Linked DNA regions of Daphnia pulex. The protein of the gene in region 2 interacts with the protein of the main gene of each other region in a pairwise test. Links are inferred from orthologs where the notes say so. Each region holds a gene or a part of one and is shown on either strand. Other genes may lie near its edges.

The links.
Region 1: the proteins of serine/threonine-protein phosphatase 4 catalytic subunit (region 2) and immunoglobulin-binding protein 1b-like interact in binary tests that used the Caenorhabditis elegans proteins (3 or more experiments, as listed by UniProt). The link is inferred for Daphnia pulex from reciprocal best matches to the Caenorhabditis elegans genes pph-4.1 and ppfr-4.

Annotation. Positions count from the first base shown.
Region 1 is NC_060028.1:6,377,066-6,380,658, forward strand, and holds immunoglobulin-binding protein 1b-like, read left to right. Parts: upstream 1-1,531; 5' UTR 1,532-1,597; coding exon 1,598-1,714; intron 1,715-1,791; coding exon 1,792-2,510; intron 2,511-2,577; coding exon 2,578-2,794; 3' UTR 2,795-2,865; downstream 2,866-3,593. Other genes in the region: endoribonuclease Dicer homolog 1-like, read left to right, coding at 363-453, 508-583, 641-782; uncharacterized protein LOC124209844, read right to left, coding at 2,953-3,062, 3,125-3,426, 3,492-3,537. UniProt on the Caenorhabditis elegans protein: Probable regulatory subunit of serine/threonine-protein phosphatase PP4 which may play a role in meiosis and embryonic mitosis.
Region 2 is NC_060025.1:1,447,689-1,452,196, forward strand, and holds serine/threonine-protein phosphatase 4 catalytic subunit, read right to left. Parts: upstream 2,885-4,508; 5' UTR 2,794-2,884; intron 2,408-2,793; 5' UTR 2,137-2,407; intron 2,004-2,136; 5' UTR 1,986-2,003; coding exon 1,836-1,985; intron 1,776-1,835; coding exon 1,623-1,775; intron 1,561-1,622; coding exon 1,387-1,560; intron 1,323-1,386; coding exon 1,196-1,322; intron 1,128-1,195; coding exon 935-1,127; intron 871-934; coding exon 741-870; 3' UTR 141-740; downstream 1-140. Other genes in the region: probable chitinase 10, read right to left, coding at 3,121-3,995, 4,061-4,508. UniProt on the Caenorhabditis elegans protein: Protein phosphatase which plays an essential role in meiosis and in early embryonic mitosis.

The DNA.
Region 1 (3,593 bases), on a different chromosome or scaffold from region 2:
CCAATTGTCCACATTTCTTTTCCAAACATTTGATTTTTTTTTGCTCCTTACTGTCTTAAAAATAAAATTTACTTCTAACCTGAAACGTGAAAGTCGCAAAGAGTGCTGCAGTCTAATACGCATTGCGTATACTAGATTGCCAATTGTCCACATTTCTTTTCCAAACATTTGATTTTGTTTGCTCCTTACTGTCTTAAAAATGAAATTTACTGCTTACAAACGAATTGCGTGTGCTTGCTTTTCAAGGCCTTTTCAAATCGGGCCGAACCAATCACATGCGAGAAAGGGTGGGCTAAAATTGCGCTGGGGTAGTGGGAGCACGTCTCTAATTTGGGAAAATTCTAAAAACTCGGCGGTTATAGCCGGATATAGCCCTTGCCGGAGCTATATTCGAAGACTCGGGTTATTCTAACGACATTACGTGGGCGGTTATCGCCCCACTTCTTGCCCCCGGTAGATTTGAATTAATTTATAAATGTTCAATTAACTCAAAATTTTAAATTTCAGATGGAAAGATCAGTTACTGGCCTAAGAACCCTGTCCAGACGATTCATCGTAAATATGGAAAAGCTTTGCAATTTGCGTAATATAATTTGACATATTACTAAAAAAAATTTATAATGTTTTTTTTTTATAATAGAGAAACAAAGATCATGGGTTTGACCCGTGTTACGCTTAAAATTGATGCAATCCCTATCAGTAGAGGTTTGGCAAAAAACGTCAGTTGCCAAAAGTGCAGCAGCAAAATACGCGTTGAGTATACTAGATTGTTAATTGTCTAGCATTTCCTGTTTAAGCATTTGATTTTTTTAATTTTTATTCTCCTTATCGTTCTTAAATATGAAATTTAAGTCTTACAAATAAATTGCGTGTGCTTGCTTTGCAACTGGTTAAAATTGGCGATGTTCCAGTCTGCAGAACCATCGAAAAAAGTCCGAGTGACAAGACTACCCAAAACCTAGAAGTGCAAATTTATACTCGATACATGGTTGTCAAATAGGGTTATATTGGGTGATAAACTGAGCAGAACCAGAGTCATCTAGCCTATGGTCGCTGCAGTCAACGTTAAATTCCAATAGCCCTCGACGACCATTTGCAACATCTATCTAAAATAGGGGTTTAATTAGGAGTAAAAATAGGGGTTTTCATATTTGGGGGTCCCCATATTTCCCATATGGGGATTTGACGGGAAGCTACTTTTTACTAGCGACTTTTGTATGGAGGCATAGGGAGGTCTCAACGAATGCCACGCCATCTAGGCTGTTGCGGCATACGGAAATACATTGAGACCCCCCTTTAGTAAAATGAGCGGAGCCCCCTCTTATGGGAAATTTAACAGGGAGACTGGAAATATTGAATTTTTTTTAATGGTTTAGTATCAAAGTTATAATAAAGTTCATGAAGAAAATCTCATGATGCAATTTGTTTCTGGTTAAAACCGGTTCTTAATGACTCCACTACGTGGTATTCATGGATAGTTGGTGTAATCATTTTACGAGTTACGACTACTAGATGGCAACCCGTGTAAGCACTGTCTCAACTTAGTAGTCTATGGCTCTATGCTTCAGTATAAAAACATAGCATTAAGAAAACGGAAATGTCGGCCGATTTAGAAGATGGATCTGAAACGGTGTCAGGGTTGTTTGACAAAGGATTGAAGATATATCATGGATTGTGTGATACCATGGATCCTTCCAACAGTCCTGAATATCAGGTATGTAGTCAGTATTCTATTCAAAGAATTTCTTGGTTTATTGTGTTTTTCAAACTATTTTTTTGAATGATTTATAGGCTAAAGTTAGAAGTTGCATTCAAATACTGGAGGATGCAACCAGACTTGTCAGCTCCCTTGGACTCTTTAGTACAAATGAAAGTGTTGATGAAGTTGCAACCAATGATTTGAAATTTTTCCTCTTGCCAGTGCTTCTTGGGGATTTGAGTCTGAAACTCAATTCAGATGACCGATTAAATATTCTTAATGTTGCAGAAGTTTATTTTCAAGATTTTCTTCAGCGATGCAAGGATTATTCAGTTGGAGGATTGGATATCCCTGACAGAGATCAACTTGTGAAATGTGAGGAACCACCAAGACATCCTGGTCCTATGGGGTTTGAAGAAATGGCAAGACAAAGAGAGGAGAAAATCAGGAAATTCAGAGAAGCCAAGGACTTGGAATCGAAACTCATTGAACTCAAGAATGCTCTTGAAAACCCTAGTTCAGATGAATCAATTGCACGTGAATACTACATATTATTGATGAAGAAATTTGTTTTCTCAACTATTGAAGAACTTAAATCCATAACTCAAGAAAAACCTATAGTTGAACACCTCATCAAAATTAAAAGAGGCGGTTGTGATGCCAAAAAATTACCACCATATGTGGGCAAACCATTGAAACCTATCATTATTACAAGGGATGCCGTCCAAAAGGCAGTTTACGGATTAGGATATCCTAGTATTCCCGCTATGACGGTAGAAGAGCTTGTTGATCAAAGAATGAAGGATGGATGGTACGTGTATTTAAAGCAACTAAATTAATTTATCAGTTCTAAAATCAATTTAATAAATGGGATTTAGGTATGGAAAATTAGGTGAAACCTCTGGCAATTCTCGTTCTCTGCTTGATGAAGCAAAAAATACAGAAATGGCCGCTTTGAAAGCGGAACAAGAAGCAACAGATTTAGAGAGAAAGGCTGAACTAGACCAAGAAGAACAACTTATCCGAGCTCGCCAATATGATGATTGGAAGGATGACCACAGGAGAGGCTACGGGAATCGGCACAACATGGGCTAATGTTATGGATTAAACATTGAATGTAATTCCAAAAAGAAACCCGTCAAATATAAATTTGCTTGTATAACCAACATTTGTATTCTTTCGTGTAAGATATTGCATACCTCTCAAAATATAATTCTTTTTAGATTACAAGAACAAATAGGAAATCAAAATCTTCAACCAAAATGTGTGGCCGAAAAGCCTTCATTTACATCATTGTTATTTTCTTCTTTATTTATGGGAATGTCACCGACACGTTCAGGAGTCAAAGAATTTATCTCTGCGTCTAGATGAAAGAAAAAATTAGTAGAGGAAATAGCAAGTATGTAAACATGAATACCGACTTACTTTGCTGCTGGGGTTTGGTATATTGAGTAATCCGTGATTTAGGTGTATACGAGGAAACCATTGCCTCTTCTGTTTGTGGAAATCTGTTGGGTGAGTGACTGATTCGTCCGCTACGAGTGACATGCACTCTCGTAGATGGGCTTTCAGATATGTTGATGTGCGGGTGAATTCTTAGTTCCTCAGTTTGACCATATCTATCGGGGGAACGAATTGGTCGCCCACTACGAGTAGTACATTGTGCCGATGGGGAAAATTGTATCTTGGGAATTCCAAGGAATTGGCTGGGTGGCAGAACTTTTTCCCTAAAATAATAATAATTTTGCTGTTACAACTGAAATTGCAAAGGAAAAGAATTGCAATAGGCTACCTCTTAGCTAAAGATGTTGGAACAAGAGGATGATCCAATATAACATCTATTTTTAAAAAATCCAATATCCATTTTAATCTTTTAATTTCATAATAGTTAAAA
Region 2 (4,508 bases):
GCTGATTCATCACGCAATGTTGTTTCGGGACAGCGGTGATAATAAAAACGATCGTAAAAATGAATAGCCGTTATGACTCAATGTTGAGAAAGTAAACATCGAGCCTTGTTTTCGAAACTAATGCAGGTACACTAAACATGTTTTCGTCTCAAGTCCATCGTTATTTCAAGAAATTGTATACAGTGCATGTTGAGAGCCATCGCAAGCATCACATTCATAATAATATAAATGGGTGCAACACAAACAAAAAAAAAAAGATTTTGGAAGCATGGCCATTGCATCAATATTTAGCACTGATGTTAAAAAATAATTACACACGTCACACAATTCGCCCCCAACATACCATAACCGCACGTACACAAAGATATTGTTCATTAAACTGAGTAGTGGGAGTAGCTTATAGTCAGATGTGATATCCTGCAGCAAAAAGTTGAAAAGGGAAACTGAACACTTGTTTGGACGATCAAGATATATTTTTATTATAAAGGACAAGACTGTGTTTACCAAAAAAAAGGAAGGGATTGGACAGAACAGAATTTTCAAAAACCTATTTGTTAGTCCGGGCGGTCAAGGTAAATGGTCAACCAACATGATACAGGCTCTTTTGCTCTGTTTCAACTGATGGGGTATCTCACATCAGTTACTGTTTTTTTTTTGTGTTTTTTGTTTTATGCATTACCGAATAATTATTTTTGTAAAAAATCGCAGGGGATATATCAACGATCAACATTTCGCGTTTCTTATAGGAAATAATCGGCTTGAGGTTTTTTGGAAGGAATGCCACGAGTCTCTTGAGGGGCAGCTTCAAAAATCGTGAATTCTCGATGGAGATTTTCGTCCAATTCCAAAATGGCAGCTACATTTCCACACCTATTGCAATATTAAAAGTTTAAGTAATCATCTTGGTGAAATCTGGCGGGAAATTAAGACAAACCTATAGCAGTAGTTGGGGGCAGACCACACCGTCAGCACCGTTTCGTTAAAATGCCATTTGTAGCCTTCCATGACAAGCTGGTGTGCTCTGCAAATCATTTCGATGTCATTTGAGGTGTTGAAATGTTGCACAACATCGGAGCCAAAAAGATAACCGGCACCGCGTGGACTCACTCCCCATCCTTGCTGTGTATCTGTCAAAAGCAAACACCCAGAAATGAATTACCACTTTCAGAAGTATAGCCAATATTTATTTTCCTACCTTCAGGATCAGACCAAAGGAGATCACACATAGGTCCATCGTGAGGAACTTCCTGCTTTCTGTCAATTATTCGGATTTGATCCAGTGTCTGAATTGAAGGAGATAGCCCACCATGCACACAGAATATCTAAAATTTGAAAAACATGTCATGTTAGAGTTTTTATCAATGCATGTTACTACTGGAAGCATACTTTGCCGTCAATGATGGCTGAAAGACTCAGGTAGTCGAAAATTTCAGTACAATAGCGCCACACAGTGACTGAACCATACTTTCTAAAACATTCGTCATAGAAACCATAAACCTGGGTAATTTGACGTGATTCATGGTTCCCTCTAATCAAAGTGATGCGATCTGGATAACGAACCTAAGAAAGAAATCTCAAATCAGAAACAAGAGAAAGAAATGCTTAACAAAAATGTATACTACCTTTAAAGCTAATAGGAGAAGAAAGGTCTCTACACTGTAAAATCCTCGATCAACAAAATCTCCCATGAATAGATAATTTGTGTCTGGAACATCCCCACCCACTTTAAAAAGTTCTTTTAAATCATAAAACTGGCCATGGATATCACCACAAACCTAAAGCAAGCAAAAAATGTTAGTTATTGAGCAATAATCAAAAGCTTATGAGAAACCTACTGTGACAGGAGAGTCAACACGCTGAACATTGCTTTCTTCAACCAGAATCTCCCGTGCTTTGGCACACAAGGCTTTGACTTCTGATTCTTTAATGATATCACACCGTCTGAGTTGTTCGATCTGTCGATCCAAATCACTAAAGTCTGACATATTTACGTTGTCTGTTTCCTAGTTGACGAGAGGGAAATAAAGAATAACGACCTTGAGTATGTGCAACAGCCGACCGGTGATGTCATACACATTGACTTGGTAAATGAGGAAACTGACATTACACAGAACGAGAATAAGATAAAAGCTTTACCTCTTTGCGTTATTAATGAAATATGAGTGGTGATGGCGAAGAATGAATTCGTGACTGGATAAGTTGACGATCGAGAGTTAAGCCACGAATTGAATCCGTCCTCGTCGTTCTTCAAAGCTATCCTTACTTCCTTGGCTTGCCTTACGTTGCCGGACAAAAAAACTGGGCTTCAATCTAAACGCCATTAAATTATTCGGCGTTGCCAAGTTTCTCCGCAGTTTTAATTTCAAGCGCGCTTTTTATTCCTTTTTGTTGAAATATCGATATTGTTCTGAAAATGATTTACAAATATCTGGTAATATTATTAGTAAGAAAAAAAATTTACAAATAAAGATAACATCGCTAGCACGCTAGTAAAAAAAATATTTCGATACATTATTTATCAATTTTGAAATATTCTCTGACGTCAGTCGGCCTTCAGCCCGATGTTTGCTACCAAAACATGGTCACGATGGGTTTCGTTTATTCAAACGGGACCTTAACTAACGCTGACATTCAATTGATATTTTATTTCTCAGAATTCCTTTGGATTAAAAAAAATCGATTGCTTGAGACGGGCATGTTCAGGCTGATTTCTCATTTCTGATTCAGTCAAAACACAGATCTTCTGACGGTCGTTTACTTGTTTGCAATAAAGACTTTCATAATACAACCAACCTTGATTCAAGCCTTGGAAATCTGGTCTTTACAATGTAGCCGTTAACCCATTACTTATTTAAACACTTCCTGTTTCGACACTTGACAATGCCACTCGGCACTCGCTCAATCGACATTGGAGTTGTCAAATTTCTAATTCATTTTTAACGCAATTTTGCAACAAAAAAATAAGAGTTCTCTTGGCTTACTCAATGAGTATATCAATTAACAACATTTAATTATCACTCGTGTGTATTGCGGGCCGAATCAATCAGATTTTGAATATATAGTAATAAGATTTAAAATATTAGAAATGATTAAAAATTGTTAAATTTGAATTCTAACGTCCTAGATAACTAAATTAATTAAAATAAACCCGAAAGCCAAAAATGTAAGTTGCTGACTATTGCCAGCAATTCGGTGCCCATTGTTTGGTATGAATGGCGTTTTCGAACTCGTAGCCTGTGTCGACTCCGTCGTGACTCTTGGCCAAGTGGACAGTTTGGTAGTGGATGGACGGGGTGTTGTTGGCGTTGTTGTCGTTGTCTCACCCGTAGTCGTCGAGGTGCTGGCTGTAGTAGTCTTGGTGGTCGCCGCCGGTGAAGTCGTCGTAGTCGATGTCGTCACCCCAACAGTTCGTGAAATGTTGGTCATAATAGGATTGGGTCCATCACCACAAGTGTTCCTAAAGTCGTCGGTACTCATGTCCCAAACCATGGCTCCGCCTAGTCCCCTCTCCAGAACGTAGCGACTTTTGACATTGGCCATGACGGGATCGTCGTAACCAACCCAAGTCTTTGGCACGCTCGGAGTGGAAGCGTATGGACCGATTTGGAATGTCGGATCGACCACCACCTCCCAATTTTCGTTTTTCACATAATTACAGATTTCGTTGTATCCTAACGTTCCCGATTCACCGGTTAAAGGTCCTGCAGCTCCAGGTCCCAAACCGGGTGCCGGAAGCGTGGGATCCTCCGTGTAAGTATAATCGAGTGTCCAGGACTTTCCGTATAGGGGAATTCCCAGCATGAGTTTTGAGGACGGCATACCGCTATCTTTCCAGTACTGGACGACAGCATCGATATTGTTGGTTTCATCTGTATCCCAATCTCTTTTATAGAGCGGGGCGTGATGGTCAGTTAAAGGTTCCCATGGCCCGTGCATATCATAAGCCATAATGTTGATGTAATCAGCTGTCGTGGCCAACACAGGTATGTCGTATCCTAACGTTGAAAAAATGTATTAAAAAAACCTTTTTATTTCATATACACTATTGATTAATACTGACCGAGGTCGCTAATGGTTTTATTGACTCCCACAGCGATAGTGAGTGAATATTTCGGTGTCTGTAAATTAAATGCGGCTCGAAGTTCCTTCATTAATTCAGCAAGCCCAACTTTGTCGGACGCACTACTCGGATATTCCCAATCGATGTCCAGTCCATCAAATTTATACTTGTCAAGAAATGCCAAGACTGAATCGACAAAAGTCCTTCGGTTAGTCGAGCTGGCCACCATGTCCGAATATTTGGTGGTTCCGTCGTGAGAATCTGTCCAGCCCCCAATCGCGATGGTTGTCTTCAATTTCGAGTTTTGTTTCTTGAGATCGACGAATTTTGAATAAAATTTATTTTCTCCTAAATCAATTTCAGGTTCAAATTCTTTGATCTTGTAAGTTTTCCCATCCAGGATTGCAAAAGCGTAGACCATGTCGGTGCAGAGTGTGGCATTTATGTC